2 linked regions of the Struthio camelus genome follow. Each later gene encodes a partner of the first gene's protein in a complex. Links are inferred from orthologs where the notes say so. Each region holds a gene or a part of one and is shown in the gene's direction. Other genes may lie near its edges. The genes, in order: HCRTR2 and HCRT.

Region 1 (15,657 bases):
TGTCCCTAATCATGAGGACTGGTATTCAGGCATGATAACTGAAGCTAGATTTGACTCATAAAATGCAAGGTGACTTGAATGAGATAGATAGATAGAAAAATATGAGTTTAATTCATTAAAGGACTCGTCTGATATTTATGCTGGGCTAAATTATAGAATTGAAGAAGTTGATCTGTATTTAAGTTTTTTAGTATTTCCTCTCCTTTTTATCTCTGTGATATATTTTTACTTCTTTTATTTTATCATCTTTTCTTACTTTTCCAAGTTGAATCTTTAGTTTGTAGTGTTTAACAGAATAAATATCTGAGCCAGCAGCTGTCTAATGGGAAATTGGATAATGAATAATAATGGCAGTATTCTTTGATGCACAACCAGGCAAAGTAAGACTTATTGAAAGATGTAACTAACAGTAACACATGAATACAAAATGCAATATTCTATATTTGAGGAGCTGAAGAAGACTACTAAAGGTTCTGGTTTTAGTGATTCTGTAGCAGAGGCAGCTTCTATTATTTGTTTATTTTTGATCCAGCATCACCTTAGCACCTGAGCAACTAAGCTTATCACTGTTCTGGTGTTCAGTTTCAGACTTCTTGCTAACAGTCTTCCTCAGTAATTTTACATTTTATGGATACAGTAGCAAACTGCAGACAAAAAAATTGTGCAGTTTATGCAGGCACAAGAGACCGCTTTCATCCTATACACTGAAACATCCTATACACTAGAAACACACTGAAACATGAAAAAATGCCCATTGTTTTCTTCAGAAATTGCATGTCAATATACCTTCAATTTCTAATGCAGAAAGCATGCTCTTATGCCACAAGAAGCCTTAGAACAGTTATGGAAATAACTGCAAAGTTCTTCATGTTTCAGTGAAAAGTAGCGTATAGCCACTTAAAAGCTTTTTGTAAGTATTTCACTGAAAGACTAAGAAAAATATCCATGAAGCAGTTGATTAAAACCAGGAGGAAAATAAGATACCTATTACCTAACTAAAATATTTTTATTAATCTGGAAAAGATAGAAAATATAAAGGAATATACTATCTAGGCAGAAGTACTGTTTTTAATTGCCACATGAAAAATACCAGCATAAACAGATTTTGAAGTTACACTTTAAGAATTAAATAGCGAAGAATAGAATAAAACATGAATCCAGATATTTTTGATGCTTTGCATACTCCTCTCCTGATAAAATACTTCTGTGTTTTTTTCTGATGACAGCGTAAAAATGGAAATCTCAGGAGGTCATATTAAGAATATAGTAGGAACATGTAATATAAATACCTCGAGGGAAACATATTGAGAAATGTTCTTAGTACCACTACAGGGCTAGAGAGAGTGCAGGATGTCCGTATGTGGGCGAGCAAATGGCATAGAGAAGAGCAGAGGAAATTGGGAATGGAAATTAGGAAGAGCAGAGGAAATTAGGAAATGGGAAAACTTTAAGAATAGATGGACTTTATACAGGAGCGAGATAGTCCATCCAAAGAAAATTAAATCAATTAATGATACTAAAAGTAAAAATAGTTATAGGGAAATTTTTAAACTAATGGTCTGAAAGCCAACATGTTGAAAATATACAATTTGAGATGATTCATCCTCTGGTGGTGAAGTTATGTACTCTGTACTCAGATGAAGCATAGAGCAAAAGTCAGCAAAATTCAAACAACTGACAGTAAAAAAAAGACTAAATGAATAGAGTCTCACTTAAACACATATGCAAACACAGAAAAAGCAGGATCATCTGTATAAATACTTCCTTGCAACAGCTGGAAATCTAAAATACAAGATAGATAACCTGAAATGGCTGTTTTAAGTGAGGATTTGGACAGAGAGGCAATTCAGAAGCAAAGAAGATATTCAGTGGAAGTTAGTAGGTATGTCTACAACATACATGTCTACATGTATGTTGTACATACAGTAGGTATGTCTACAAGTTGTACAGGACCATGGCACAGCCTTAAACCTGTCTCTCAAGCTGTTCCCTGGCACAGTTCAGGGGCTGGCTTAGCCTGGAGCTCATTCCAAATTGGCAGCCAGCACACGATCAGGACATTCTGGGGAAAGGAAGGAAAAGGGTTTAAGCAGCACGGACATAGACTGGGTCATACCTGGCTTGTTTCATAGCCAGCAACACCTGTGCCCAAATGATGTAGGAACAGGTATGACAGTATTTGTCACCTCAGAGAAAACATATAGTCCTAAACAATTCCCAAGACCAGTTGACACTAACAACAGGTACTAAAGGAGTTAAGACACTGAATTATTGGCCTAAGAGTTATAACATGTTACTTCTAGTTGAAAACAGTACAGGAACAGTGAAAGGTATCAAACATGTAGCTACACTTCTAAAGGGCCTCCAGAGGAATCGCAAATAGTAAAGACTAGTAAGTCTGTATCCTATATTTTGCAATTTGATATAATAGAAGACAGGAATATACATAATGGAAAGGTATCAAAATGTTTTTGGGAGAGGGAAGGTATGCATCATAGATCTACTGTGTTTCTCTTAATAAGTGTGAAACATCCGTAAGTGTAAAACATCCATGTGATGTTTTATGATGTGTCCTTTTGTTTTCAAAAAGCGTTCTACTTTCACGGTCTTTCAAATACTCTTTACTAAGGTAAAAGAGGTAAAGATACGAAGGTATCCAAGAGGTTCAAGGTGATGGGACAAATATTAGAAAAAAAATGGTTGTTTCACTATTTCACTGTTGCACTGTTCAGTTTTTCAATGAAAAGAGTCTGGCCCTGTCTTCTCTGCACCCTCCAATCAGATATTTATACACACTGAAAAGATCCCCCCTGAGCCTTCTCTTTTCCAGGCTAAACAGGCCCGGCTCTCGCAGCCTTTCTTCGTAGGAGAGATGCTCCAGTGCCTTCAACACCTTTGCTGCTTTTCGCTGGACTCCCTCCAGTACATCCATGTCTCTTGTACTGGGAGCTCAGAACTGGACACAGTACTCCAGATGTGGCCTCATCAGGGCTGAATAGAGGAGGAGGAACACCTCCCTTGACCTGCTGGCAACCCTCTTCCTAATGCAGCCCAGGATACCATGGGCTTTCTTTGCTACAGGGTCACGTTGCTAACATATTCAATTTATTTTCCACCAGGACCCCTAGGTCCTTCTTTGCAGAGCTGCTTTCCAGCAAGCCGGCCCCCAGTCTCTATGAATGCATGGGGTTATTCCTTCCCAGGGGCAGGATTCAGCACTTCCCTTTACCAAGCTCCATGAGGTCAGCATCTGTCGTAAAAGGAGAGGTGAGAGAGCTGGAACTGTTCAGCTTGAAGAGGGGAAGGCTCCAGGAGGATCTTATCAGCATTTATAAATATCTGAAAGGAACATATAAAAGGACGATGGAGCCAGACATTTTTCAGTGTGGCCCGGTGACAGGACAAGAGGCAATGAGCACAAGCTGAAATACAAGAAGATTCACCTGCACATATGGAAGAACTTCTTTCCTGTGAGGGTGACTGAGCACTGGAGCAGGTTGCTCGGAGAGGTTGTGGAGTCTCCTTCCCTGGAGATAATCAAAAGCTGTCTGGGCACAATCCTGGGTGACCCTGCTTGAGCAGAGGGGTTGGACTAGATGATCTCCAGAGGTTTCTTCCAACCTCAACCATTCTATGACTCTGTGATCTGTTGGTTACCTGTTAGCTGTGCTCTCATGTATTTTATTTCTTACAATACATGAACAATCAAAATAAATAAAATTATCCAGCAGCAGGTTTAAAGATAACAAAGCAGGAACATTGTAACAAACCATGGAAATCATTGCTTCTAGTTACTTTGAAAGCCAAAAGTTTGGAGGGGTTCAAAAAACAGTCAAACAACATTATCAGAAGAAAAATCCACAAAGACCTATTCACCATACCAATAACAAAGCTGTGAACTTGGTGACTGCACAAAGATGGGAAACTGTAATGATGGAAAATATCACTGCAAACTTGTCTTACCTTCACGTTGTTCTCTAAACATCTATTCCTGGCCACTGTCAGAGATGTAACAGAGATTAAAGGGATCTTTGACCTCATCCTGTATAGTCTGCTTTTATGTGGTACTAGAGAACAAAGTAAGAAATAGTCTGATGAAAACATAAGCAAAATCCAGTATTTTGGGTCTGATCTAATGTCAGTGTGGTCCAGTAGGTCAGTGAACCTGAATGCAGAAGATACAGATCATACCCTTGTCTCTGTCATTTATCCTCTGTATGACTGGAAGTGATATGTCACTTAAAACAGTCCTTGTGACTGTTTTGCTTCCCACTCTTGATTTTCCTTCTCTGCTTCACGTGTATGTTCTGCAGAATAGAGATTGCCCCTTGCCACATGTTTTAAAGACCCAGAGCTCTAATCTCCATTATTTTCTATAAATAAAACCTTTTTTTTCTAGAGCACTAGATGTGCTAAGTTCATCTGAATGGCACTGATTTCCCTTAAAAAAACAAATCCTTTATCAAAAAGCTCTATGATCCTTCCTTCTAGGTACTCCTCAAAATACTCTAGAATATTAAAGTGTCCATCTTGTCTCAGGTTGGACCAAGATCCTGCACTACCCCCAAATGGGTCAGGAGTAGACGCTTGGGAAAAGAACGTTGAGAAACAGGTTATACTTGGAATTACACTTTCTCTGTCTTCAGGATTCCTGAGTGCAGTGTTTCATCCAAACTGTTTCATTTACAGCTTCTAATGGACTTAAAATTAAATTTTCCTAATCATTTTTCAGCCATTTGTATATGGCTTCTACAATATCTTGCGGAAATGAGTTCCAATATTTACATAAAAAGAATGAGAAGTATTTCTTTCTTTTTTGCTTATTTAAACTTGCTAACTGATATTTTCATTGAATGTGTCTTGTCTTATGAAAAAGAGTAAAAATCCATCCCTCTTTTGGCTTCTGTATTCAGTTCAGGGACATTCTGTGGAAAGGAGTATTGTAATTTGTTATATCAAGATTACATCTGTGCCTTGACCATTAACGATTTGTTTGCTTTTAAATGTTTGTAGACTTGGTGGACGAGTGCATATTGCAAATAGAATTGCCATTTTTTTCTGAACAGCTCTTAGTACTTAGAGGTTAATAAGCAAATGGTCCAGGAAATGGATGGAGAAACAGTGTACTTGCACTGATTTTTGTTTCTTTTTCTTTTTTTTAATAGGAATTGTACCTAGTTGGAAATTGTACCTATAATATGCAGGAAAGGGCACAGGCATTTCCATTGTTGGCTGCACAATAAAATTTTCACCAAGACTCAGATTCTCATATGACTTTTAGATCTTCTGCATTTGCACGACTGTGGAATGTATCATTTTAATTTGTATTACAGCAAAGTAACCTTACTGACATGAATGAAGTTAATTCTAACTTACAGCAGTGTGAATGAGACTAGAATCAGACCTTTTCACTTAAAACACACTGGTGGATCTGCTGATCTTTTCTTCTCTGATCACTGTAGTATTAGAGCACCTCACCCCAGCTGTGCCTCATTTTAATGGGATTAGTGAGCAAATAAATCCATAGAATATAGCTGATATTCTTGATATATTCGTGTAACAGTGCCTTAGCAAGCTCATTGGAATTTTTAAAACAGAATCCTGCTGAACAGGACCCTGTTTTCTGCATATAACGAGAAAAATGCCTAAAGTTGGCTAAACAAGATTAACTGCTGGATGTTTCTTGCATCACCCGTGGTTCCAAAAATTCAATAGCACGTCTGAATAATATCTATCGTGTTAAAACTAGTCTTGTTTTTTAAACTTACAGTTTATTACTAAATTAACACTAAGACAAAAAAGAGCCTAAAGGAAAGGTGGTGCTGCAAGTATGTTGTTTGATGGACCATAGTTATGTTCAGTTATAGCGTTTGCTCATTAGTTCATTCTTTTCTTAAACTATATAGCATTCATTTTCTTTTGTGGCTCCTTCCACCTTACTGACTGGTAGTTATTACCCTTTCCCCATGGAATTTTGTGGCTGTAGAGATTTCCAGATCTGCCTTTTCTATCAGTCTTTCTCTTCTGCTCTTAGCATCTCTCTTCTTAATTAACTTCTTCGCTTCTTCACAGTCTGTTTAGTTGATAATAACCCAACTGCTTTGCAGGAGCTACTTAGCTCTGTTTCCAGGGAAGCAGCAGATCCACCTTGACATGGAGAAAGGAGTCTCCATGACTAAAGGAGAAAAGATACCAGAGGGGCTTCACATCCAAATTTTGGGACATGGCTGAGCAGGATGGCTTCAGCAAATAAACGAGAAGATTGTTTTTCTGCTGAGGCATGGTGTGGCATATTGCATAACAGAGAGAAAGGGGGCAGAGAAAAGCTATTAAATCAGAATAGTCAAAGGAAGATGGGAAAGAAGGGCATATTCACACGATTCATCTGTGCTGCCAACACAGTAGTGTGTTTCTCCCCAGCAGCCGTGCTTGTATGGTTTGCTTCCCAAGAATGGAAGCACTTGCTAAAATGTTCAGCAAAGGTTGAACAGTAACCCTCAAGCTCATCTGCCTTTTCAATCAAAGTCTTCAAAAATTTTAAAAATTGTTCTACTGTGAAAAAAAGGCTCCTCATTTAATATGCTATTGGATTAGTATGGAACTAATCCTCTGAATCAAATAGATTTTAAAATGAAAGGGCTAGTCTCTAACATATGAAGAAATGTGGCCCATTTGTATGATCAGTACAAACGTTAAGTCTGCAACAGAATGATTATTATGGAGAGCTTGATGAAGCAATAAAACTTGGATGTTGAATTAGGGTTGTTTTTTTTTTCTTTTTCTATGAATGCCGGTTCCTTTGAGCTATCAGATGGCATAAAGCACAAATGTGTGTTTGATTTATATTCACATGGTCTAATACCATATAATAAGTGGCATTAAAAGCCCAAGACACATCTTCCAGGACTGATAATTTCATTTCACTGTTTTGGGATTAGCAGTGGAAATTTATGGATTAGAAAATATATTAATGTATGTGAACCTTTTAGCTAAATAAAGTATAAGACATTACTCTACTGAGGTAAAAAGGTTAATAGATATAACCTTGAATTTATCCTTCTTTTAAATGCTGAATAGCCAGTATATTCTTTCTTTCATAAATTTTAAAATCACATGTTAAACAGATTTTGAACTGAAAAACAGTTAACAAAATAAGAGTTATACAGTTTTGAGCATTTACTGTTCACTTACATATACAAGGGACAAATTTAAATTGCATTAGTCTTGGTACAAATATAGTTATAATTATATATATAAATATATATATATATGAGAATGGAATTAAAAGAAAAGATAAATCAGCATTAAAATTCATCAGCTGAATCTCTTTTGCACTTTCACAGATTGGAAAGCCAGAAGGGACTACTGTAATCACCTAGTCTAAGCTCTTGTATATTGCTGGTCATATGACTTTTGTGAATTAATTCCCATTTGAACTAGCTCTTATCTTCCAGAAAGGCATCCAGTCTTGATTTTAAAATGTACAGCTGTAGTAACTCAACTTGATAAGCGTTTCCTCAGTAGTAAATTGTGGTACATGTTGAATACTTTAGCTCGTTAGTCAAGTTTCCCTTATAATGCTGTCTACCTTAATCCACGTTCAAAGGTATACTTATTCATACCATCAGGGATCACATTAACCTTTTTGGCTATGGATTCCTGATGGGAGGTTGTGTTTAGCTGATTCTTCCTGATATTTGTAACATCTGTCAGCTTCGTCAAGGTCATTGAATGTTGAGTGTAGCAGAACCAAGAGTTGACCTGCTTGAGACCAGGAGAAACGCATGGGCTCAGTGATGATTCTTCATGTACCATTTCATTCTGAGACCTGTTAGTTAGCTAGTTTTTAATCTTTATAATGTGTGCCATATTGATTCCTTATTATCCTGTCTCTCTAGTCAGAACATGTTGTACCAATCAAAGCAAATGTCTTACAGCAGTCCAGGAACGACAAATTTATGCAGTTGCCTTTATCAGTCAAACTTGTAATCTTATTGAAAAATAATGAGTTGTAAGACCCATTTTCCATAAAACTATGTTGATTCTTAATATGTATATTTTTTAATTCAGTTCCTTGCTATTGGTGAGGGAGAAGGAAACATTCCTTGACTCCTAGCACTCTATGTTAAAAAAGGCATTACCTGTTGCAGAGTTTATGACAACTTGGAAACAAATATTGAAGTTATGGAACAACATTGTAAAACATGAAACATCTATCACGAGTGTGATATCTGTTACTGACCATGAAATAGTCATGTTCTGTGTCTCTTCACCATTAGTGAAGATCATGACAAGCTCCTTAAATATCTATTTCTGTTGATTACCAGATACATCTGCATTCTTGAATTCTCAGATCACAAATATCTTTCAAAAACTCATAACACAGCTAATAAAATCTTAGATGTTTTCACGTTGTGCAGAGAGTCTAATCTTTATGAAAATCTACCCTTCTAATCTATGTAAGCTAGGTGCTGATCCTACCCTTATATCTGAGGATATCTCAGTCTTTAATGTATTTATCCTAAAAAGTCCTCTCAATTTCCCTGTGGAATAGGAAAGAGATCTTTTCTTTATTTTATGGAGAGGGAACTAAAGCTAGGAGAGCAGATCTATAGAAATAGATAATGGCAACAACAGGTGTGCATATGCTGTGTTGGACTTTGCAGTCAACAGAGCAGGCTGCACGCCTGCAAAGAATGATTAAGTACCGTCTAGAGCTGAACACCAGAGTGCTTCTGAATTTCTGTCTCTCTGTGATGTCTATGTTTTGGAACTAGAGAAGCACAATGGTTCCTTCCTTCTTGTGGAGGTGCAGACCCTCCACATAAATTACTTGATTTAACTGAGCCAGGTGTGGCATTTCACAAAGAAAGTGGTGCTTATACCCTGCTCATTAAATCATTCAGCTAGGAATTACCTGGATAACAAATTATCTGGATAACAGGGTTTGTTTGTCTGTTTATTTGTTTGTTTGCTTTCCAACGAGGAGGGACAAGTCCAGACTTCCCGTCCCTTCACTTTCAGTTCAGTTCCCTTTGACTTTTTGCCCATTGTACACTGGGCAAAATACGAAAACAGTCCAGGAAGCAATGACCAGCAGCCAGGAGTCCTATCACGCTGCTTAAGTAGCGCTTGGCTTCTGGGCTCTGTTCAGTTGCTCTCTGCCAGCTCAGCTCAATTGGGAATAGCTAAATAGTGGGGAGCTGCTCTCCTGAGACCCCCAGCTGGATGGCTGAAACACCCTCAGGGCAGGGTGTTTCTACACACTAGACTGAAGCCCACAACGAGCTCTCCCGATCCTAAAACCCAAGAAAAGCACACGTTTGTCTCTTCAGTGCCCTTCTGGATTTTTCCCCTGGGGTTAATTCATTCCTTTTTGGTCACACACCCAGCAGAACTTTTTAAGGGGCACCCTGAGGAGACAGTCTCGTTAGCCAGGCATTTTTCAGCAGCTGCCCTCAGCCAGCAGCCTGCCCCCGCCGCGCGTGAACTCCTGTCCTTGAGCGCGCAAGCGTCTGGCATTCACGCCCTGTGATGTGCGACGTGTGAAAGCGGGAACAAGAGACGCGGTTGAGGGCGAGCAGCGGGGGGAAACGCACTAGCAAGGGGAACCGGAGCGGGGCAGGGGGGCCCGCGGCAGCCGAGGGCGGGCGTGCGCGCGTGCGGGGAGCGCGCACGGCTGCGGGCAAAGGCAGCGGGGCGCCGTGCGGAGGCGCCGCGGCTTTCCCCGCCGGCGGAGGCAGCGCCCTGCGCTGCGCTCGCTCCCCGCCGCGGCGGCCGCGCGCCCTGCGCGCCCGCGGGGCCTGCGCGGAGCCCGGGCTCGGCCCGCATTGGCTCCCCGCGTTCCCGCGTCATTTTCTGCCCGTCTCCCCAGCGGCCGCCGCCCGCCGGCAGCGGCGCGTCTCGATGGACGGGCTGGCGAGCGCGCTGGAGCGCTGAGCGGCTCTGCTCCGAGCCGGACCGCAACCAGGGATGTCCGGCCCCAGCCTGGAGGATGACTCCCCGCCGCCTTGCAGGAACTGGTCGTCCTCCCCAGAGCTGAATGAAACGCGGGAGGCTCTTTTAACCCCTTCCGCCGACTACGAGGACGAGGAGTTCCTGCGGTACCTCTGGAAGGAGTATTTGCACCCCAAAGAATACGAATGGGCGCTGATCGCGGGCTACATCATCGTGTTCGTCGTGGCGCTCGTCGGGAACGTCCTGGGTGAGTCTCGCTCCCAGAAGTTGCCGTGCAGCCGGCGGGGCGGTTCGCCCGGCGGCTTTTCTCAACGGCTAGAAACCGGGCGAGTTCCTCACCTCCCGCCGCAGCCTCTGGAGGGACAACCGCCTCCGGCAGCCGGGGCAAAAGTTAGGCGGAGGCGGAGAGCCCTCGGCGCCGGACGGTTTGGACGGTTTTCCCGCTAGCCGGCAGCGCCGGGAGGGCTGGGGCAGCGCCGGGGCCGCCGGCCGGCCGCCCCTGTCCGCCGGGCCCAGGTGCTGAACGCCGCCGCCCCCCGGCCCGCGGCGCTCGGGGCCGCCCGGCGGCTGCTGCCCCCGCCCGCCCGGCGGCTGCTGCCCCCGCCCGCCCGGCAGAGCCCCGCGCGAGCGCTGCCCGGAATAAACCCACATATGTTTTCAGGGACAAGCTGGGGGGGGGGGAGAGGGGGAGACGGACTAGCCTCAGCCCGGGGGGCGACGGGGAGGGCGGCTGTGCCACCCTCGGGAGCCCCCGGCCGGCAGAGAGCGCAGCCCGGCACGGCCGGTGCCCCGCGGCCCGGGGAGCGACGACGGCGGCGCCGGCCCCCCCGCGGGGGGGGGGGGGAGGAGGAGGAGGCCGGCGCCCTCCTCGCTCTCATTCAGGGAAGCGAGGGGAGGCGGCGCTTGGCAGCCCGCCTCCCGCTCGCGCCCTCCCCGCTCCCATTCATCCGTGAAGGAGCCGGCGGGCGGGGGGCGCGGCGGCGGCGGTTGGGGAGGGGCGGGCGGCCGTTGAGGCCGCGCGCGCGCAACGACGGGGCGGTTGGGGAAGGGGAGGCGGGCGGCCGTTGCGGGGGGCGGCTTTCCGCACTCAGGGGGGCTGCGCAGGGGCTGCCCCGGGGGAGGCGGCGGGAGGAGGGTCGTTGGCAGCCGGCGAACGAACGTGTGGTTGAAAGGTGCGGGCGGAGAGGAGCGGCCGGCGGGGAGGGGCGGGCTCTGTGCCACGGAGGCGGCGGAGGCTCTGAGCGGGCCGTCGCCGGAGCCCGCTGCCCCCCGCTCGCCCCCCGGCCCCGCGCCCCTCCACGGCCACGGCTGCTCCGAGCGGGCTGAGCTCCCCTTGCGTGAGGCTCCCGCCTCCGACACTCCGGCTATTTTTACCGGACTCTAAGGAAATGTGTTGGTGGCTGTGTCCGTGCGGGCAGCGCACACCGGTACACACACACACAGCCCTGGGGCATCTGCATCCCGACCGGCTGTTTCCTATTACTGCAGACACTTGCATTTTATGTTGCTGATTCTCGCATCAGCTGAGAGTACGTTAGCCCTAATAAATCCTGCATTTATGAATGAACGTGCATGCGGTATGACCGCCAGGGAGCTGGTTACGCCATGAGAATCCACTCCTCCCGGCCATTTGCAATTTTTTTTTTTTTAAATCTACATCATTGATATTTTCATGGAAAGGGTGGCGCACTAACGTACGGAGCCCTGCCTTAAGGGTCTTCCATTCATGTTTTTAAAAAGGATTTATGTATGTCAGGGTTGCTATCTGCAAGCTTTGTGGGCTTCTCTAGCCAAGCTGCGAAGGAGACTGAAGCCAAAGGCAACATTTTGGAAATCTCTTTTTTATTTTAAAGAACCGATACTGCTATTTTCTTTCTGCAGTGGTGTGCTAACTACTGATAAATACCGAATATGCACGCAATCAGTGTGTCTTTAGCGAAAGAGGTTACACTATTCAGAAGCCTGAACACCTGCTTGCACGCTCCATTGCTCGGCAGCGAGCCTGACGGACAGTGCTAATGGCCTTCCTAAGGAAGGTGTACTTAAACTACAAAGAAAACCGTCCTTCGTTCTCATCCTGAGCAAAGACTGTTTTTGGGGGGGATTTTAGGATCTGTCTTTACCTATTTACCACCACCCATTGTGTAAACAGGCGGTCCTCTAGCCTTTAAAAACTCAAGGTCAAATCTTTTCGGCTACAGGAGCTCTCAGCCTGTTTGCACTTCCCCCCCCCCCCCCCGTGAAAGCCACGAGGAGAAACAGTTTTCTCTCTTTGCGCATGCAAACAGAGCCATTATCGTGGCCAATGTGGAAACGTTCCTCCCCGACATTTGTGCACGTTTTCTTTTCGTCGGGGATGGAAGTTGGTGTTTGGCTGTCCACCTCTCCTTTGTGCTGGTCGTGCTGCTGCCTCTGCCAAAGTTGTCTGCCGTTTAAAGGGCCTTCGTGCGTTGCAGGGACCTCACCCACCCAAAGCGCTGTTCCTGTTTACAGGCAAGAAGTTGTTCGTGGGATCTGCAGGTGCAGGTGCTCATTAGCTGAACTCGTCTTTAAGAAATCTCATAATGCACTGACTGCAGGCATTTGGGGAGAGGAACAGATGTGGCCTATGCTCTTTTTCCAAAGAGGTTTTTATGAAACCTTGTTTGTTTATTTGGCGAGTGGCAAAAATACGGTATAAAGCGATACACATTCTGAACTTTCTCAGGGGATAATTTTTCCAATTTGAAAAATCCGTATTCAGGGTTAATCTAGAGTTTACTCATGGACTGCCTTGAACACAAGGCAACAGTGTTTCTAAAGAGAGTTTTAGTGGTTTATAGAGTCATCCTTAGTGATGCAGTGTGTTCCTCTGCTTATGTCTGACCAATGTTGCTGAACTGGTGCAGCATGAGAAGCCAGTGTTGTGGTTCTGCTTCATCCATGTCCTATCTGGATAGCACTTACGAAACCAGGGAAGATTTTTCTCTTCCCTGTATTGATCTGTACAATGATATATCTGCCTCTTATTTTCAATAGCACATTTGCAGGGAATGAGGAAATACGTTGTATCCCCCCAGTAACATCTGTACAGATGGAAGGCACAGCACCTTCCTCAGACATTAGCAATAGCCTGGATTAAAACATTCTGACAGTTAACTAACAGCTAAGGGTAGAATCAGAAGCTTGACCTTTGATTGACATCTACTGGACTTTTGGCTGAGCTACACTGCAGGAATTCTCCCTACTAATAGTAACATATAACAAGGTCTGCATTGCCGCTTTCTATTCAATTAGGAGAATTGCCATGCACTGTCCAAACTGCTGCAAAACCAGCTAAAATGAAAACCATCAGCAAGTCCTTGCATTTGAATGCAAGTCTGATTACTGCTTTCAAGTGCTTCATGTTACTGATTCTCATGTGTGCCCACATTGGCTGCCCACCAGAGATCTCATCTGGAGCCACTGAAAAGAAACATGCCCTTATTGCATAGCTGCATTTTCACTTGCAGTGTAAAACCTCAAGCAATAGCAAATTTTTTTTTCCTGAGAATTACTGGCCGAAGTTTTAAGACGTAGTTACACTAACACTGAAAGAATGTGAACCCTGGGTGATAACATCAGCATGTATCCCTAGAAGCAGAATAGATATTGAGAGTAAGGACTTCCTGTTCTGCACACAAGATCAAAAGATTTTTATGCCACAGCCCAGGAATAGAGCTCTTGCAACTACTTGGCAAGGGTAGTGCAAAGCAGTACTTCTTACCTGGGTACGTATGCTGAGTAAATGTCTATTTCTTCTTTATTTGAAAACATTATTTAAAAATAGAAAACCAGAAAATTAAGGTAGGAAAGGTATTTTTAGGATGCATGGAGGTCTGTCGTCACTGGACTACTACTGGATCATTCCACTTTAACCAGTTGCAGCAGTTAAAAACTGAAATAAGACCATAAGGAATTAATAGTTAATGCCCAAATCCATACATTTAACTCTGTTTACACAGGTAAAGAATGTGAATGGTTCTTGTTTAAGTTATTCATTAGAGTAGGTCAGAAATTTTCTAATTAAATGCTTTCTTTCAGGGAACACTCACTCATTCATCAAAATCAAAACGTACAGCAGAGATCACTTGATTTCGCCAGAGACCCAACACAGAAGAAGGCAGCCTCCTGGTTTCCTGCCAGCTGGCCTGCTGGGATCTCTTGGCAGCCCATCCTGGAGCAGGCAGGAGCTAAGAGTCCTAGGACACACAAACTGCCAGCTCCCAGCTTGACACTCCACAACATTGCTGGCTTCCAAGGCTTGGAGGCCATGCAGCGTGTCAGAGAGAGATCCAAGAGATTTTCTTTACTCACATAATTTGATGATATTTGCTTTTCTTTCCAACTCAGAACCAGATAGGTCTATTGTTTATAATATATTTTATAGTAACTCCTAGCAGCACGTTATGCTGAGGATGTAGAGAACTGAACAGTGGTCCTTTCCTCAGAGAGTTCGCAGTCTGGCTCATAGAGCTCAAGGTGATTTGTTTGTTACTTACTGCAGTTTGATTTTAGGCCTGCTTTCTTCTTGGGTGTAGAAGAAAGGTTTTGTGTAGTTCTAACACCTGAGTTCAAGTTAATGTCTATAAACAGGTAACTGTAATCTCTCGAGTCTTTCTCTAATACGATTTTAAATATATTTGGTGAACTACTGAGGTCTATGTGTACATGCAAGTGTTGGTAGAATAGGATGATTCATGTGTTCTCTTAAATGGTGCCATGATCTTCATGAATCCTATTTGATGGCTGTAAATGAGGCATATTTTATTTCATTGCATTTTGAGGTTTTTTTTTCATTTTGTCCAGAGTATTTGGGGAATCTGGCATTGCAAGGGCTTGAGGTCTGTAATATCAGCATGAGAACCACTTTTATCTCCTAGATTGTGAGTACCTAGGATTGCTTAGTCATATTTAAAAAGATACCACATAGGAAATGATATGGTACTGATATTGTTTCATCTACCTATGATATAGAATATATGAGCTTCATTTATGTAAGAGGTAGGGTTTCAACTGAATTACACTGGTGTTTGTGTAATATCATGAGAATTACTAACAAGAAACAGCCATGCATATCCTTCTGAGATACATCAAGAGCAGAAATGCATTAAAAGATGAAGCTTATTTAAAATTATGCCTATTTCTCTATAAATTTTCATATCCAGATGCTTAAGTCTAGTTCCACTGTATAACCCTTCTGACCAGAGAGTCCAGAGGGGACACAGCTCTATTCTCCATTATCATCCTTTATGCTGAAAGGTTACACCGCGTAGCATGAATAGTGCAGTCTTACTGAATCTGATTCTGAAAAAGGGCAATGCAGGGACTGAGGAGACTAAAGGAAGGTGAGCTCCAAGAGGTCACCTGACAACTTGAACATTAATAAAAATTGTGTTGATTTTTATTTCAGTTCTTCTAAAAGAAATGACAGTTACCTCTGGCTAGAGGCTGCTTTTACAGATGGATGAAAAGGAACGTACTTGAGCAGTTTGATTCTTTGTGTTCTAACACCATTCCAAAAGACACTAGTTCTGCTGTGAACTATTCAGTGACAAAGGAGGAGGACTAGAATTTGGACAAATGGACAAGATCCCAGTCTCAAGGATCAAAAACTATAAAAATGCATTGAAAGAGAAATAAAAATTATATTATTTTCCTAAGACTTCTCATATCCTGTTT
Region 2 (14,851 bases), on another chromosome or scaffold:
AGACCCCCATCCTGCGCAGCAACGGCCTCTCTGACCAGTTCCCAGACGAATGCGCTTTCTCCATCATCTATGGAGACAACTACGAGTCCCTAGACCTGGTGGCCAGCTCAGCCGACGTGGTGAGTGCATGGGTGATGGGGCTCCGGTACCTGGTGTCCTATGGCAAGCACACACCCGAGGCGCCTGGGACCGGCCACCCCAGCCTTCGGACCTCCTGGATCTCCTCCGTCTTTGACCTCGCTGACCTGGAGAAGTCTGGCCGCATCCCTGTGTCGCGGGCTGTGCAGCTCATCAAAGCCCTGAACCCAGGCATGAAGGCCTCTACCATCGAGCTGAAGTTCAAGGAGCTGCAGAAAGCCAGCGACCGTGTGGGCATGGACGTGGCCTGCGACCTCTTTGTGGAGGCCTACTGTGAGCTCTGCACCCGGCCCGAGATCTTCTTCCTGCTGGTGCAGTTCTCCAGCAACAAGGAGTACCTGGGCCTGAAGGACCTGCTGATGTTCCTGGAGGTGGAGCAGGGCATGGAGGGGGTGACGGAGGAGAAGTGCTTGGAGATCGTCGGCAAGTACGAGCCCTCCAAGGAGGGCCGGGAGAAGGGCTACCTGGCCATCGACGGCTTCACGCGCTACCTGCTCTCCTCCGACTGCTCCATCTTCGACCCGCAGCACCGCAAGGTGTGCCAGGACATGGCACAGCCCCTCTCCCACTACTACATCAGCTCTGCCCACAGCGCCTGCCTCCTGGAGGACAACTTCTGGGGCAGCTCGGACATCAGCGGCTATATCAGCGCCCTGGGCCTGGGCTGCCGCAGCATCGAGCTGGTGCTGTGGGACGGTCCCGACGGCGAGCCCGTCGTCTACACCAGCCCCTCGGCCGCCTCCTGCGTGCCCTTCCGCACCGTGGTGGGGCTGATCGACCAGCACGCCTTCGCCGCCTCCGCCTACCCCCTCATCCTCTGCCTCGTGGTGCGCTGCTCGGCCACCCAGCAGCGCCTCGCCGCCCAGTGCCTGCGCAAGACGCTGGGCGACAAGCTGTACGTGGAGCCCCCCAACCCCGCCGAGTCCTACCTGCCTTCCCCGGAGCACCTCAAGGGCCGCATCCTCATCAAGGGCAAGAAGCTGCCGCCCGGCTGTGAGGACAGCGAGGGCGAGGTGTCGGATGAGGAGGAAGGCTGGGAGCTGGCGCGGCGCCTGGGCCAGGAGGACCGGGAGATGCCGGAGGGAGGTGCCCTGCGCCGGGTGCGCCTCAGCCGGGAGCTCTCGGAGCTGGTGAGCCTCTGCCAGGCCGTCCCCTTCCAGGACTTCGAGAGCTCGCGGCGGGGGCAGCGCTACTGGGAGATGTGCTCCTTCAGCGAGGTGGAGGCCGGGCGCTTCGCCAACGAGTGCCCTGCGGAGCTGGTGAGCTACAACAAGCGGTTCCTCTCCCGCGTCTACCCCAGCCCCATGCGCATCGACGCCAGCAACATGAACCCGCAGGACTTCTGGAAATGCGGCTGCCAGATGGTGGCCATGAACTACCAGACGCCGGGGCTCATGATGGACCTGAACGCGGGCTGGTTCCGGCAGAACGGAGCCTGCGGCTACGTCCTCCGTCCCGCCATCATGCGGGAAGAGGTGTCCTACTTCAGTGCCAACGCCAAGGACTCCTTGCCGGGGGTGCCTGCCCAGCTCCTGCACCTCAAGGTCATCAGCGGGCAGAACCTGCCCAAGCCCAAGGGCTCGGGGGCCAAGGGGGAGGTGGTGGAGCCGTACGTGTGCGCCGAGATCCACGGCATCCCGGCCGACTGCGCCGAGCACCGCACCAAGACGGCCCTGCAGAGCGGGGACAACCCGGTCTTCGACGAGAGCCTGGAGTTCCAGATCAACCTGCCGGAGCTGGCCGTGCTGCGCTTCGTGGTGCTGGACGATGACTACATCGGCGACGAGTTCATCGCCCAGTACACCATCCCCTTCGAGTGCCTGCAGCCCGGGTACCGCCACGTCCCGCTCCAGTCCCTGACCGGGGAGCCCCTGCCCCACGCCACCCTCTTCGTGCACGTGGCCATCACGGACCGCCGCGGCGGGGGCAAGGGGCACCGCCGGGGGCTCTCGGGGCGCCGCGGCCGCCGCGTGCGGGAGTACACCTCCACCAAGGCCACCGGCATTAAGGCCATCGACGAGGTCTTCCGGACAGCCACACAGCCGCTGCGGGAGGCCACCGACCTGCGGGAGAACGTGCAGGTACCAGACCCAGCGGTGGCACCCGCGGGGAGCCGGGACGTGGGTTCCTCTGGGGCAGGATGGGGCTGGACGGCGAGGAATCGGGAGCACCCAGGTGTCCCTCCTGATCCCGGCTCCGGAGGGGGCGGATGAGAAGCCTCATCTGGAGCAGCAAGCTAGGGGAGACGGGGCCGTTCCCAGCAGGCAGGGGAGGGAGCGAGGGGTCGGCGGCCCCCTCCCCGGACCGGGCCCCTGACGCCGGTCTCTGCCCGCAGAACGCGCTGGTCTCCTTCAAGGAGCTGTGCGGCCTGACGCCCGCCGCCAACATGAAGCAGTGCATCATCACGGTGGCGGCGTGGCTGCTGCACAGCGACAGCGCGCCCAGCGTCACCCTCAACCTGGCGGAGCAGTACCCCCCCATGGAGGCCCAGGGCCCCATCCCCGACCTGCTGCGCAAGGTCCTCACCGCCTACGAGACGGTAAGGGCCGTCCTGCCGGGGGCCCGGGGCTCTGCCCCTCGCAGGGGAGCGCGGTGGGGGGGCGCACCCAGGCCACCACCCTGCCTCGCTGCGCTCACCCGGAGCTGGGCGCGCTGGGGCTGGCATCCATCCCGGGGCGGAGGGGTTGGGCTGGGGGGCTGCAGCGGCGGGTGCCCCCGAGGGACCCGACTTGGTGCAGGCTCCCCGCCGCTCCATCCCTGCCCGGGGCGTTCGCTCGGCAGCGCGGACCCCATCCCCCTGCGCGGGCTGCCCCAGCCCCTGCGCCGGCGCCGGGCCGGGGGGCATCCTGCGGTCCCGCCTGGCGGGAGAAATCCCATTAATAGCCGAAGCCGGAGCTGCTTCCTTCCTTTGTGTTGGAGGGAGACCTGGCCGCCGGCCAGGCGCTGGCCGCCTGCACCTGGCTGGGGCGCGGGAGGGCCGGGGCAGGGGGTGCAGAGCCGGCCGAGCACCCCCCCACCAGCGTGCGGGGCCGCGGCGCTGCTCACGCCGCCCCGCTCCTCTCCCCCAGATGATCCAGACGAGCCGGACGCTGATCGAGTCCGCCGACGCCGTGTATGGCAAGCTCATCCAGGCGCAGCAGGCAGGTGGGTCCCCGGGAAGGGCCGGCGCAGCCCCCTGCACAGCTCTGCTGCACCTGCCCACGGTCCCCGGGGCGCCGGGGCCGCCGTGCACCCCGGGTCCTGCGGCGGGTGCCCCCGTGGTGCCGGGCGTGGGGGACGTCGTGCTGCTGAGCCCGGCCTGGCCTGGACGCGTGTCCCCGCGGGGATGAGCTCAGCAGCCTGGCACCGCCGCCTGTTGGGATTTTGGCGGTGCAGGTGGACGGGAGGAGCGGGGACGCGTGTGTCCGCGCGCCCGCCTGTGCGCAGAGGGTTCGAGGCGGCGCACGGCATCGGGGCTGCAAGGCGCCGGCGGAGCAGCTCCCCGGCGACCGTCCCGGCTGGCGCGGCCCGGAGCCCGGCTCTGCGGTGTTCCCACGTCCTGGGCAGCGCCGCGAGGGGCAGGGGGCAGGCCGGCCCCGGGGCCGGAGCGAGGGCGCCGAGCCGCCCGGCGCTGCAGCAGGGCACGGGGCGGCGGGACCCCCGGGGCGGGCGGCTGGGGAAGGCGGGCAGCGCAGGAAGCGCCGGGAGGGAAGGGAGGAGTGCGGAGGAGGCTGCCGAGGAAGCGGAGGGGAGTCATTAGCTGCCAAACGCCAGAATATAATTAGCATCAGAAATAACAGGCTGGGGCTGACGGTAGAAGCGGCAACTGAGTGTTGTGACTTCTGCGACACGTGGCTGGACCCCCGCGGGCAGGTGCCGCTGGCAGCCTGCCCCGCGCCGCCGGCGCCCCGGCCCCGCGGCAGCACTGTGCACCCGTGCCCGCTGCCCACTGCACCGGGGGCTGCCGGGGCGCCCTGGGGAGGAAGGGGGGCCCCGACCCGCTGCCAGCCCTGCTGCCAGCAGCCCTGCTTGTTCTGGCTGCGCGGCAGCCTGGAAATCTCCCCGAGCGCTTGGCTGGCGGCTCCGCGGCCGCTGCCAGCGCGTGGGGCAGTGCGAGCAAGGCGGCTACGGCCCCGGGGGGCTGGGGCAGCCGGTGGCGGGGGCCTGAGCCGGGGGGGGCTCTGCACCCTGGTCCGCCACTCCGCGGGAAGGGCTGCGAGAGCCCGTCTGTGCCGTGCTGCCGGGGGAAGAGCAGCTCGGAGGGGGCATCGCCCCACCGGACTGGCCCGGGGGCGGCCGAGCTGCACCTTGAGGCGGTCGCGCAGGGTTCGGCCCGGCCCTTGCACCCCGGGGGTCGGCTGCTGCCTGCGGCGCCGGGGGGGCGGGGGCGTGCTGATTGACGGCGCGCGGGCGAGCGGGCTGGCGTGGGAGCCCTTGCGTGGGCCCCGGAGCCGGTGCTTCGTCAGGGAGGGGTAAATATAGCACCCGCTCACGGGGACGTCACGCGGTGCGCGGCGCGGGGGTCCCTGCTCCCGCCCGGGGGGGCCGGCGGGCCCGCGCTGCCACCCCCGCGGGGCCAGGGTGTGCAAGGACTGTGCCTGTGCCGGGGGCAATCGCTGCCCTCCGGGTGGACCCTCGGCTCCAGCCCTTTTCCCAGGGCTCGCGCCAAGGTTTGGGGCTGAGCGTGGCGCAGAGCCGGGCGCCCCGTCGCTCCCCGCGCGCTGGGGGCCCGGAGGAGCCGGCGGCGGAGCGGGGAGCCCAGCCTGCTCCCTCGGTGCTGGGGTAGGGAGCTGCCCTGGCCTGCCCGGCTGAGCAGTGCTCTCGCTGTGCCCCGCGCCCCAGGCATGGACTTCCACAAGGAGCTGCACCGCATCGAGGCCAAGGAGGGGCTGCGGGGCAGGAAGCTGCAGAAGGCGCTGGAGAGCTTCGCCTGGAACATCACCGTGCTGAAGGTGAGCGGGGCGAGGGCTGCATCCTGCCACGGTGCGGGTGCACCCCCCGGGGCCGCGGGCTCGGTCGGGGCCGAGGGGTGCCCCGGGGCAGCCGAGCGCATCTTGCAGGCTTCCTGGGGAGCAGCAATGGTGCCGAGGCAGCAGGCGATGGTGTGGGGCCCTCCCGGGTCCTGCCGGCGCCTCGGGGCTTGGGATGCGGCGGGCAGGCGTTTTGCTTTCTCCCGCGTCCCTCACCGCTGCCTTTGCATGGCCGCCAGCGGGGAGCCCCAGGGGTCTGCGCTGCTCCCTGCTGCGGGTGTTTAGGGGTGCTGCTGGGGGACGCTGCCCTCCGGGGACTCCTGACCCAGCCTGCCCAAAGCCCCAGGCAGCATGGGCCAAAGCGTCCCGGGAGGCTGCATGAGCAGGCTGCGAACCGGCCCATCGGCCTCGCCTCCGTACCCTGCTTTCCCAGGCTCCATGCTGGGGTGTGCGGTCCGGCTCACGCACCCTGGCCGCAGCGCCCTGGGTGCCCTCCGCAGATGCAGCGGTCTGGTTCTCGCCATCCCGTGTTGGCGGTCCGGGATGCGCCCGCGTCCCGGCAGCCCGTGCTCCCCCCTGGTGGGACCGTGGCCCTGCCAGCGGGGCCAGCCACGGCGTGGGAACGCGCCCCGGCCGGGGGCAGGCCCTGCTCCACGCGGGGGTCTCCGTGCAGCACTGCCGGGCAGGTCTGGGCCACGCAGAGCCGGAGCCGTTCCCGGTGCCCCCTGCCTTTGCCTGCAGTGAAGGGGGCAGCTGGGGGGGCCCCTTCCCGCAGTGCCACAGCCTGGCCGGTGGGCTGCAGCAGCGCGGCACGGCCGGGCGTGCGGGTGGCAAAACCAGCCCGGTGCAGCCCCTGGGGCCGGGCGCAGAGCCCCCTGACGCCCCTCTCTGCTCGGCGGCAGGGCCAGGCGGACCTGCTCAAGCACGCCAAGGCGGAGGCGCTGGACAACCTGTGGCAGATCCACAACGCGGGGCAGTCCTGCGGCATCGGCAGGAACGGCGCGGCCTCGCCGGACCCCTCCCGGCTGCGGACCCCGCTGGAGCCCATCCCCGAGACGGAAGGAGGCGGTGACGCAGCGTGCTGCTGACCCCGGCGCGGGGCACCGGGGCCCGGACTGAGCGCTCCCGTGGCACGGCATCGCCCCTGTGCCCCGGGCTGGGGGCACTGGCCTGCCCGCCGGCGTTTGGTGCATCTGGAGGGAGACGCAGGGCAGGGCGCTGCCTTGCCCACGGGCAGCTGAAGGGCTGCAGCGGGGCCAGTGCAGCGGTGAAGGCTCTTGGGGACCAGCTCTGGGCACAGAGCAGGGCGTTTGGGGAAGGACCTCCCTGCTCCCATCTCCCCTAGCCCCACCGAGCTCCTCCTGCATCCGCTTCCAGCGCGAGCGCCCGGCCGCGGGGCCGGCTGGGCGTGCTGGCACCCCGATGGCCGTGTGCATGTACCCCTCGAGCCTGCTGTGCCCGCTGGACAAACAGCCCCATCTCTGGGCTCAGGTCTGCAGGTTTTGCCTTTGCCAGCCCTGGGAAAACCTGCCTGGCTGGAGCCGTCCCCTCGCTGGAGTCCCCAGGGCCCTGCGGTGCAGAGGGGCTGGCCAGGCTCCCTGGCGCAGCTCGCAGGGGGCTGGGGCAGCCGGGGGCCCCAGGCGGGAGCAGATGTGGCTTTTGGCATCAGGGAAAACATCCTGGACTTCTCTGGGGCGAGAGCATCCCAGGCACAGGCCACGAGCGAGGGGCGGTCTGGGGTCGGGCCAGGGCTGTGGCACGGTTATAAAGTGTGCAAGACCCACGCTGGTGCCCTGCTGCTCCGTCTCCGTGCCCGGCTGGGGGGCAAGGGCAGGCGTGGGGCTGATGAAGAGGGGGGAGCGTGGTGCTGCCGGCGCTGGGGATGGGCACCGTGGGGCCGTGCCAGCTCCATCACAGAGCTGCACAGCCCCCATCTCCCCTTTGTTCTGGAGCAGTAATTAGCCTAATGGGGCCACGAGGAACGAGCCGGCGAGCTGCCGTTGTCTGGGGCCAGGCAGTCGGGAGAGGACCCGCTGCGTCCTCCCGGCGCTGACCTTCCGGCCGCTTTGTGCCAGCCCGGCTGCGGCTCCCTTAGGCAATTACAGCCTCATTAGTGCCAGGCTCCGCAGCCGCTGGCGTCCCGCGCCCGGCCGCCCGCCCTGCGCCGGCCCCGCACAATGGGGAGCTGCAAATGAGGGGAAAGGCCTGGCCGGTCTCCGGGCTACCGGGAACAAAGAGTGCGCGTCTCTGGGAGACCGGCCCGGCTCCCGCCAGCCCCTCCGCTTCCCGGGGTATTTTTGGCAGCACTATTGTGCAGGGCCCCGCGAGGGCTGGGGATGGGTGGGGGACAGCCCCCTATAAAGCCCGGTGGCCAAGGTGAGCTGCTCAGGGCGGCTTCTGCTCCTCGGCTCCTGGTGGGTCATGCCCCAGCGCCGCTCGGCCACCTGAAGACACCCGGGGACGATGGAGACACCGAACACCAAGGTGGGGCCAGGGACAAGCAGCCCGTCGGAGTGGAGGCAAACTGGGGACACGGGCGGCGTGGGAGAGCTGGGAGAGAAGTGATGCTGGGGAGGCGGCAGTGCGGGCTGGGAACCGGGACTCGGCCCCGCATGGGCTGGGGCTGCAGCCTGCTGGGCAGGGAGCGGGGTGCACAGTGCACGCTGCAGTGTGCTACGGCAGGGGCAGGGCACGGGGGCTCTCGCTGCACGTCCCACGGTGATCTGCAGTGAGGGAGGGTGTTTGCTGCCTTGCGCCAGAGCAGGATGTGCGCGACAGCGAGGATACCTGCAGCTTGTTCCTGCGGCGGGAAGGAAACATGGTCGGAGCGTGAGCGGGGCCTTGGTCTGCGGGGCTGGACGGGGAGTGTGGAGCAGGACTCACAGGTTCCCCCATCCCTGGAGGGTGCAGGGCTGCCCGTACCACCGGGCACTGAAGGGTGATGCTCCAGGGCTATTCTCGGGAGAGCTTTTCCCAGAGCAGCGAGGTGGCAGGGATGGGAAGCCAGGACCAGCTGTGAGCCTTGTCCCCTCCTGCTGTGTTCCCTTGCTGCAGCCCAAGCTGGGGACAGCCCTGTCCCCATGCAGCAGTGGCTCTGCCCATTGGAGCTGGGACACCCCAGCAGCGTGGTCGTGCGGGCAGCGACCGGGCAGGTGGGAGCCGAGCCCGGCTGGGTGCTGGCCGTCTGGCTGGCCACTCTGGAAAAGCGGGGTGGCCACGCATGGGCCTGCTGCCCCAGCCCCTCCGGCTGCCCCTGCCCTAACACCAGCCCGTTGCTCCGGTAGCTCCAGAGAGCTGCTTGCCTCTTGCTCCTGCTCCTGCTCTGCTCCCTGGCCGCTGCCCGGCAGAACGTGCCCGAGTGCTGCCGGCAGAAGACCTGCTCCTGCCGCATCTACGACCTCCTGCACGGCATGGGCAATCACGCCGCCGGCATCCTCACGCTGGGCAAGAGGAAGAGCGTCCCACCGGCCTTCCAGAGCCGGCTCTACCGCCTGCTGCACAGCTCTGGCAACCATGCCGCAGGCATCCTCACCATGGGCAAGCGAGGGGAGCGCCCCGGTGCCGCCTGCCACGACGCGTCGGGCTGCCCCTCGGGCACAGACGTCCCGCCAACGCCGGCCCTGAGCCGCTCTGACACCAGCCCTGCTGGCCCCGGGGAGTGCCAGGGACAGTTGGGGAAGGACCCGACCAAGGGCCAGGCCCAGGGGGCTGCAAAGAGCTTTTACTGAGATGGTTGGGGGGGAAAGCTGGGAGTAGAGGGGGGATCCCGGCAGGGCGACAGACCCTGGGGACTCAAACTGTGGAGCCTGATGTAAATAGTACTTTCAAATACCTCCTTGTGGCCCTGGCCAAGCCTGCTCAGGGCACTGTGGGCGCCGCTGGCCTTTTACAATAAATGGTAGCCTGACGTTACGCAGCTTTGCCTTGTCTCTGGGGATGGGGCCTGCGGGGCTCAGGGCTCTGCCAGGGTCTGTGCCAGGGCAGCCAGCGAGGCTGGTACCTTCACCCGCTGTGCCAGGACACGGATTGATGCTGCTGTGTCTGCACGTTTCCAGCTCTGGCCCCTTTTTCCGGGGGTGGGGGGTGGTGGTGAAGGGAGAATGAGTCGGCAGGAGCCCAGGGGGCCAGAGGCTCCCTGGCACAGCAGGGATTGCTGCGGGGCAGCAGGGGCTGTGGGGCTCAACCGCGCCATCGCGGGGAGCGTGAGCTGGGGAGATGCTGCAGGTGTGCCTGGGCTCGGCTGGCTGGGTGCAGGACCGGACCTGGGGAGAACCGAGCCTCAGGCAGGGTGTCTGGGTGCAGGGGTGTTTACGAAGCCTCTCCCAGGAAATCGGGGACCCCCTGGCAGGGACCGCTGTGGCTCTCTGCACCTGGGCTGCAGCAAGGGGAGTAGCTCGGTGCTGGGGGACGTGAGGGCTGCCAGGGCAGGGCAGCCACCGGCCACAGGGACTTTGGGGCTAAGCAGGGCCCTGGGGGGCTCAGAGCATCTCCCCCACTGCAGCACCAGGGAGCCTCCAGCGACCCCCTGCAGGCCACGGGACCCCCATCTCCACCCCCCACGGTGACCCTTCCACCCCCAGCAGAGCCCTAGCTGGGTCCTGTCACCCCTTTGTCCCCGTCAGGGGCATCTCCCAGGGCATGGCCTTGCATTGTGACCACTGGGCCAGCTTTCTGCAGAGCAGCGCTCCCAAGCCCCTCTCCTGGGTGCAACGGCTGGCCTGGGGGGCTGCGGGCTGGCTGCGGGTCCTAGCCCAGGGCGGGGTCCCACTCCCAGCTGCCTCGTGCCTCCCTGGCCTACTGCAAGACAGGGCAGTGGGGGAACGGGGCTCTGCAGGGTGCCGGGACCCTCCACCAGCTCCGCGCCCCCGTTCCTGCAGTGGGACCCCACCGTGGGCTGGGACTGGGCAGATGCCCCCGAACGGGCCGATCCTGCCCCTTCCCCAGCCTCGGTGGACCCCCCCGCTTTGGCTTTCCAAGGGCTGGTGCCCCCCGGTGCCTGCCGGTGCCGCGGGGCCGGTGGCTGCCGGAGCCGAGGCCCCTCCCGGTGCCGGCGGGGCGGGGCGGGGGGCGGAGCGGGGGCCCCGGGCGGGCCGGGCCGGGCCGAGCCGAGCCGAGCCGGGATTAGCCGGTGGCACCTGCGGAGGGCCCGGGGGCGGCGGGCGGGCCCGGCGGGACCATGCCGGTGATGAAGGGCTTGCTGGCCCCGCAGAACACCTTCCTGGACACCATTGCCACCCGCTTCGATGGCACACGTAGGTCTGCGCCTCCCGGGCAGGGCCCGCTGCGGCGGGGGGTCCGGGGAGGGGGGGGCGGTGCCCCCGGGAAGCGGTGGGGAGGTTGGGGGGTCGCCCCGGGGCGGGGACTCCCCCCCCAAGGGCTAGGCGGGACACGACCCTCCACGCTCTCCATCCCGTCCCCGCCGGCCCGGGACCCCCCGGCGGCCCTGGCCGAGTTCAGTAATTCGGGGACCCCCGTGAGACCCAGCCGGGCTCGGCACCCCGGGACCCCCCCCACCCCGTGCAGCCCTGCCAGACTGGGTGACCCGGGAACATCCGTGTTCTCTGGGTGGGCTCGGACACCCCCTTTCCCCCAGGCGACCTCTGCAGCTAGGGGACCCTCCCGTGCAGCCCAGGGGGGTCGACACCCCCGGGACCCTCTGCGCAGCCCGGGCGTGCTCGGTGACCTGGGCACCCCGCGCAGACCCCCGTGCAGCCTAGGGCGCTCGGTACCCCGGGGCCTCCCTTTCCCCCCAGGGGGCTCAGCACCCCGCCGTGGGCCCGGGGCCCCGCGCAGACCCCGCTCCAGGGCGGACTGGCCGCGCTGCCGCTCCCGCCGCCGTCGGGGCCGCTCAGCACCACGGACAGTTCCCGGCCAGCCGGGAGGCCCCGGCGCCGCGGCAGGGTCCGTCCGGGGGGCCCGGGGGGTCCGGGGGGCCGAGCCCCGGCCGCGGCGCACGGGGGGCCCGGGGCAACCTCCGGGCCGGGGCTTCAGCCAGCTGGGGCGAGGGAAAGGGCTCGGCTCCATCCCCAGCGCCGTGAGCCGCCGGTGCAGCCGTCGGGAGCCGCGTGTGCCCGTCGCCTCCGCGGTGCACAGAGGGGTGTGGGGAGCATCGCACCGGGCTTCACCGGGACCTCTGCACCGGAGAAACTCCCCTTGCTTGCACAGGCCAGCTCTCCACGGGCACCTCTGCCTGGGGTCCCCACGGGCTTCACCTCCTGGTGCTCAGGTGCCGTGCGGGGCCCTGCCCACCTCTAGGGCCTAGTTAGAAAAGCCTCTCGTTTGCCTGGAGTTGTGTCCCTGGAAGAGGTGAATACTGAGAGCCGGGGCTCGGAGCACGGCTGTTGTCCTTGCTGACTATTTTGCAGCCTCTTTCCACAGTTGGAGGTGCTGGAGTGTCCCTGGGAACTGGGCTCCTCCCTGTGTCCATGTGCCAGTGCTAGGATGGATTAAGGCCCTGGCACGTTGGAGAAGGGATTGTGCAGCGGTGCCATGTGCCAGCTGCTGGCAGCCACTCAGGGACAGGTCCTGCTCAGTCCTGACCCCAGGCCTCCCCAAGATCACCTGGAGCAGGGGCCCCCCAGACCCATCCTGCTGGCACAGGATGTCATTTGTCCATAGAAGCTGTCCTTGGGGGTGTTACCCTCGAGATTCGTCATGCATAACAAAGCAATGAGCCCCCTCAGCCAGCCCCGGCTCAGAGACAAGCAGCTTCCAAAGGCACCAGGAGCTCCCCTCAGCTCTGAGCTGCTGGCAGCCCTCTGTGGGCAGCAAGGACAGCATCCCCCTTTCCCGGCCCTGGGGCCCTGGAGACCTGGATCGGGGCTTTCAGATGCAGCAGCTCTTTCTTCCCAGGGGAGCTGCCTGGGAAGAGTAGGAGAAAGGCCTCAGGAATCTGCCCTGGGGATGCCTGGGAATGAAGCTGGCTGACAGCATCCTGCCTTCAATTGCTCAAACCCGCCTTCCAGGCACTTTTAAATAGTGTCCAGCTTTGCGGGTTTGATGTGTTTGTTATCGGCTTTATCTGCCATGGAGAGGGGCTTTAGCTGCAGTGATACATGATGCGAGTTAACCCTGGCTGTCCCGCGCAGCTGCTCCCTGCTTGGCCTCAGGTCACTTGTCCAGGCAGGCCGGTCACTGTGCAGGGGGCCGCTGAGCCTCCGACACGGCCACATTCCCCTTCTCATGGCTGAGCTGCTCCTAAAGGCGAGTCCTTTTTTCCCTTTCTAATAACACACCCCGGACAACGCAGTAATCCTGGCTCATCAGAGCCAAAATCTGGCCTTAGTCACAGCCTCAAGCTATTTTTGTTTCTCTGAGCTAATCCGGGGTTGAGCTGTGCTGCGGTGGCCCTGGCGCAGCCCCCCCCCACCCCAGGCTGTGTGTGGCTGGCACCCCTTCCACAGCCCCTTCTGCCCTTGCCCAGGCCGCTGCGGTCCCGGCACGGCTTCGCTGCCTCTCTGTGGGTGCCGTCATCTGCGGCTGGCCTCCCTCTCCTTCGCTGTGAAACCGGGCAGCCAGCGTGTTTCCTGCTGCCAGTGCCTGGCATGTGGGGTGGAGGGGCCCCTGGCGGGTGGGAACACGGATGCCGTGAGCCCAGCTGCTGCGCGCGCTGGCTCCTTGGTGTCGCTTTTGCACGAGGCCATCTGTCCCCACTGGCGCAGCGCCTGCGCTAGGTGCTGCTCCGGGCCCTGCTCTGCCCGGCCAGCAATGGCCTTGGCAGCGGCTGGGTGGGATGTGGTGCCAAAATAGCCGCAGGAGCTTGGGGGGTGGCAAGGGCTTTCGTCTGCCCCGAGCCACCTGGCTGCTGGGGTGGGAGTATTGCTGGGGGAGCCACGAGTGCTGGCGGTGCTGGGACAGGGCAGAGATGGTGTTTCCCCTGCACATCTCCTTTGCCTGGCTCAGCGTGGACTGCCTGATTCAGCCCAAGCATTCGCAGTGGGGCTGGGGGCTTTTCTCTCTCCCTCTCAGCCAGGGTGGCCCCCTGGGGGCCCCAGCGCTGCAGCCTGGCCATGTCCCCACCAGCAGCTCCTGGCCGGGTTTGCTGCTGTTCCTGCTAAGCCGCTGTAGCCCCAGCGGGAAGGTGGGAGCAGCAGATGGCGAGGGGGAGGCGTGAATCGCGTCGCTTGGGATCGCGTCTCTGTGACGATGGGAGCCAGGAGCTATATCTGGGCTCCTTCCCCTTCCAGCACAGCGGGGCTGGGGCCTCTGGGGTGCCAGAGTGGAAGGACCACCCCAGGAGCCTGTCCCGGGGGCCCCCCAGCTTGGGCTGGAGATGGGCCCTGGTTCACGTGATGGTGCACATTTCTGCCTGACTCTGCCAGCCCTTGGTGGGCTGGATGGTCCTGGGAACTGCGGGGCAAGGCCGGTGGAGGTGGGACTCCATGTGTGGCCTGGGGAGTGGTGCAGGGAGCCAGAGGCCTGGGCACTTTGCCGCTGCAGGAGGAGAGCAGGGTCTGCAGAGGGGAGCAGATGACAGTGAGATGAATACCTGGTCCCCTTCCGGCACAGTGCAGCGGTAGTTCATGCCTCCCAGGGTGGCCCCCTGCCTGCTGCAGCAGCCGTGTCTCTCTCCTTTCAGACAGCAATTTCATCCTGGCCAACGCGCAGGTCCTCCGCGGCTTCCCCATCGTCTACTGCTCCGACGGCTTCTGCGACCTCACCGGCTTCGCCCGCACGGAGGTCATGCAGAAGAACTGCAGCTGCCGCTTCCTCTGCGGGGCAGAGACCAGCGAGCCCGTCCTGCAGCGCATCGAGAAGGTGCTGGACGGCAAGCAGGAGTACCAGACCGAGGTCTGCTTCTACAAGAAGGGGGGTGAGTGGCACGCGGGGCTGGGCCCTGCGGGATGCGGCGCTGGCGCCCCGGGGTGCTGCCCGTCCTGGGCTCGGGGTGAACCTGCCGGCACGGAGAGCAGCAGAGGGCCTGTCCTGCCCTCACCGCTCCTCTCCTCCATGCAGGAGCTGCTTTCTGGTGCCTGCTGGACATTATGCCCATCAAGAACGAGAAGGGGGAGGTGGTGCTCTTCCTCTTCTCCTTCAAGGACATCACAGAGACCCGGGGCAAGAGCCACCTGGGTGACAAGAAGGAGGGTGAGCCATGACCATGGGATGGGGTTGGCATTCGGGAGCGGTATGCACAGTGGGCGCTTGGCAAAGGGGTTCTTGGTTCCCAGCTGGATCCTGCCCAGCGTTGTGTGCCCAGCCTGTGCTCCTGGTAGCACAGGCAGCATCCCCAAAATGGCCTTTGCTCTGTTGCACCATGGCAGCTCCCAGGAGCCGCTGTGTCCTGGAACGGGACGGGAGCAAGGGGACAGAGCTGCCCCAGCTGCTGGAGCCTGCAGAACTCGGCTGAGCCACCCTGCGTGCCGAGGGGTCCCGCCGGTGGCCGGGCAGCTTTCCCACTCACTGAGCCTTTCTCGCCCACTCCAGAGAAGCAACGGAGCAAGAAGTCTGGGAGCTCGCACCTGCGGGCGGCACAGAGGCAGGGCCGGACGGTGCTGCACCGGCTCAGCAGCCAGTTTGCCCGGAGGGACCGCGGCGAGATGAAAATCAACCGTGTAAGGGCCCGAGGGAGCCCCTGGTTTTGCCCGATGCCTCCCAGGCAGGGGCTCTGTGTGCAACTCCCTGCCCTCCTGCGGGCACCAAAACGCCCTGGATCCCAGGCAGCTGCACTGCGGTCCTCAGTGCGGATGCAGCTTGTTGGCAACAGGAGAGCGGCCACGGAGCGCACGGAGCTTCCCATGGGCAGTGCCAACCTTTGGGCAGCT

The links.
Region 2: the proteins of HCRTR2 (region 1) and HCRT are in contact, whole or in part, in a cryo-EM structure (PDB 7L1U), measured with the Homo sapiens proteins. The link is inferred for Struthio camelus from reciprocal best matches to the Homo sapiens genes HCRTR2 and HCRT. Residues at the interface, in NP_001371201.1 of Homo sapiens: Thr111, Val114, Trp120, Pro131, Gln134, Thr135, Val138, Gln187, Val209, Cys210, Asp211, Phe227, Thr231, Ile320, Ser321, Asn324, Lys327, Arg328, Phe333, Ala334, Thr336, Arg339, Val342, Tyr343, Phe346, His350, Tyr354; in NP_001515.1 of Homo sapiens: Asn89, His90, Ala91, Ala92, Gly93, Ile94, Leu95, Thr96, Met97.

The regions. Positions count from the first base shown.
Region 1 is NC_090944.1:35,190,492-35,206,148, forward strand, and holds the start of HCRTR2 (orexin receptor type 2), read left to right. Parts: upstream 1-9,770; 5' UTR 9,771-9,972; coding exon 9,973-10,204; intron 10,205-15,657. UniProt on the Homo sapiens protein: Nonselective, high-affinity receptor for both orexin-A and orexin-B neuropeptides. Triggers an increase in cytoplasmic Ca(2+) levels in response to orexin-A binding.
Region 2 is NC_090966.1:7,581,388-7,596,238, reverse strand, and holds HCRT (hypocretin neuropeptide precursor), read left to right. Parts: upstream 1-7,550; coding exon 7,551-7,571; exon of another isoform or gene 7,572-8,371; coding exon 8,372-8,815; downstream 8,816-14,851. Other genes in the region: inactive phospholipase C-like protein 2, read left to right, coding at 1-2,219, 2,474-2,677, 3,207-3,282, 4,960-5,069, 5,990-6,175; KCNH4 (potassium voltage-gated channel subfamily H member 4), read left to right, coding at 10,264-10,339, 13,666-13,899, 14,043-14,174, 14,514-14,641. UniProt on the Homo sapiens protein: Neuropeptides that play a significant role in the regulation of food intake and sleep-wakefulness, possibly by coordinating the complex behavioral and physiologic responses of these complementary homeostatic functions.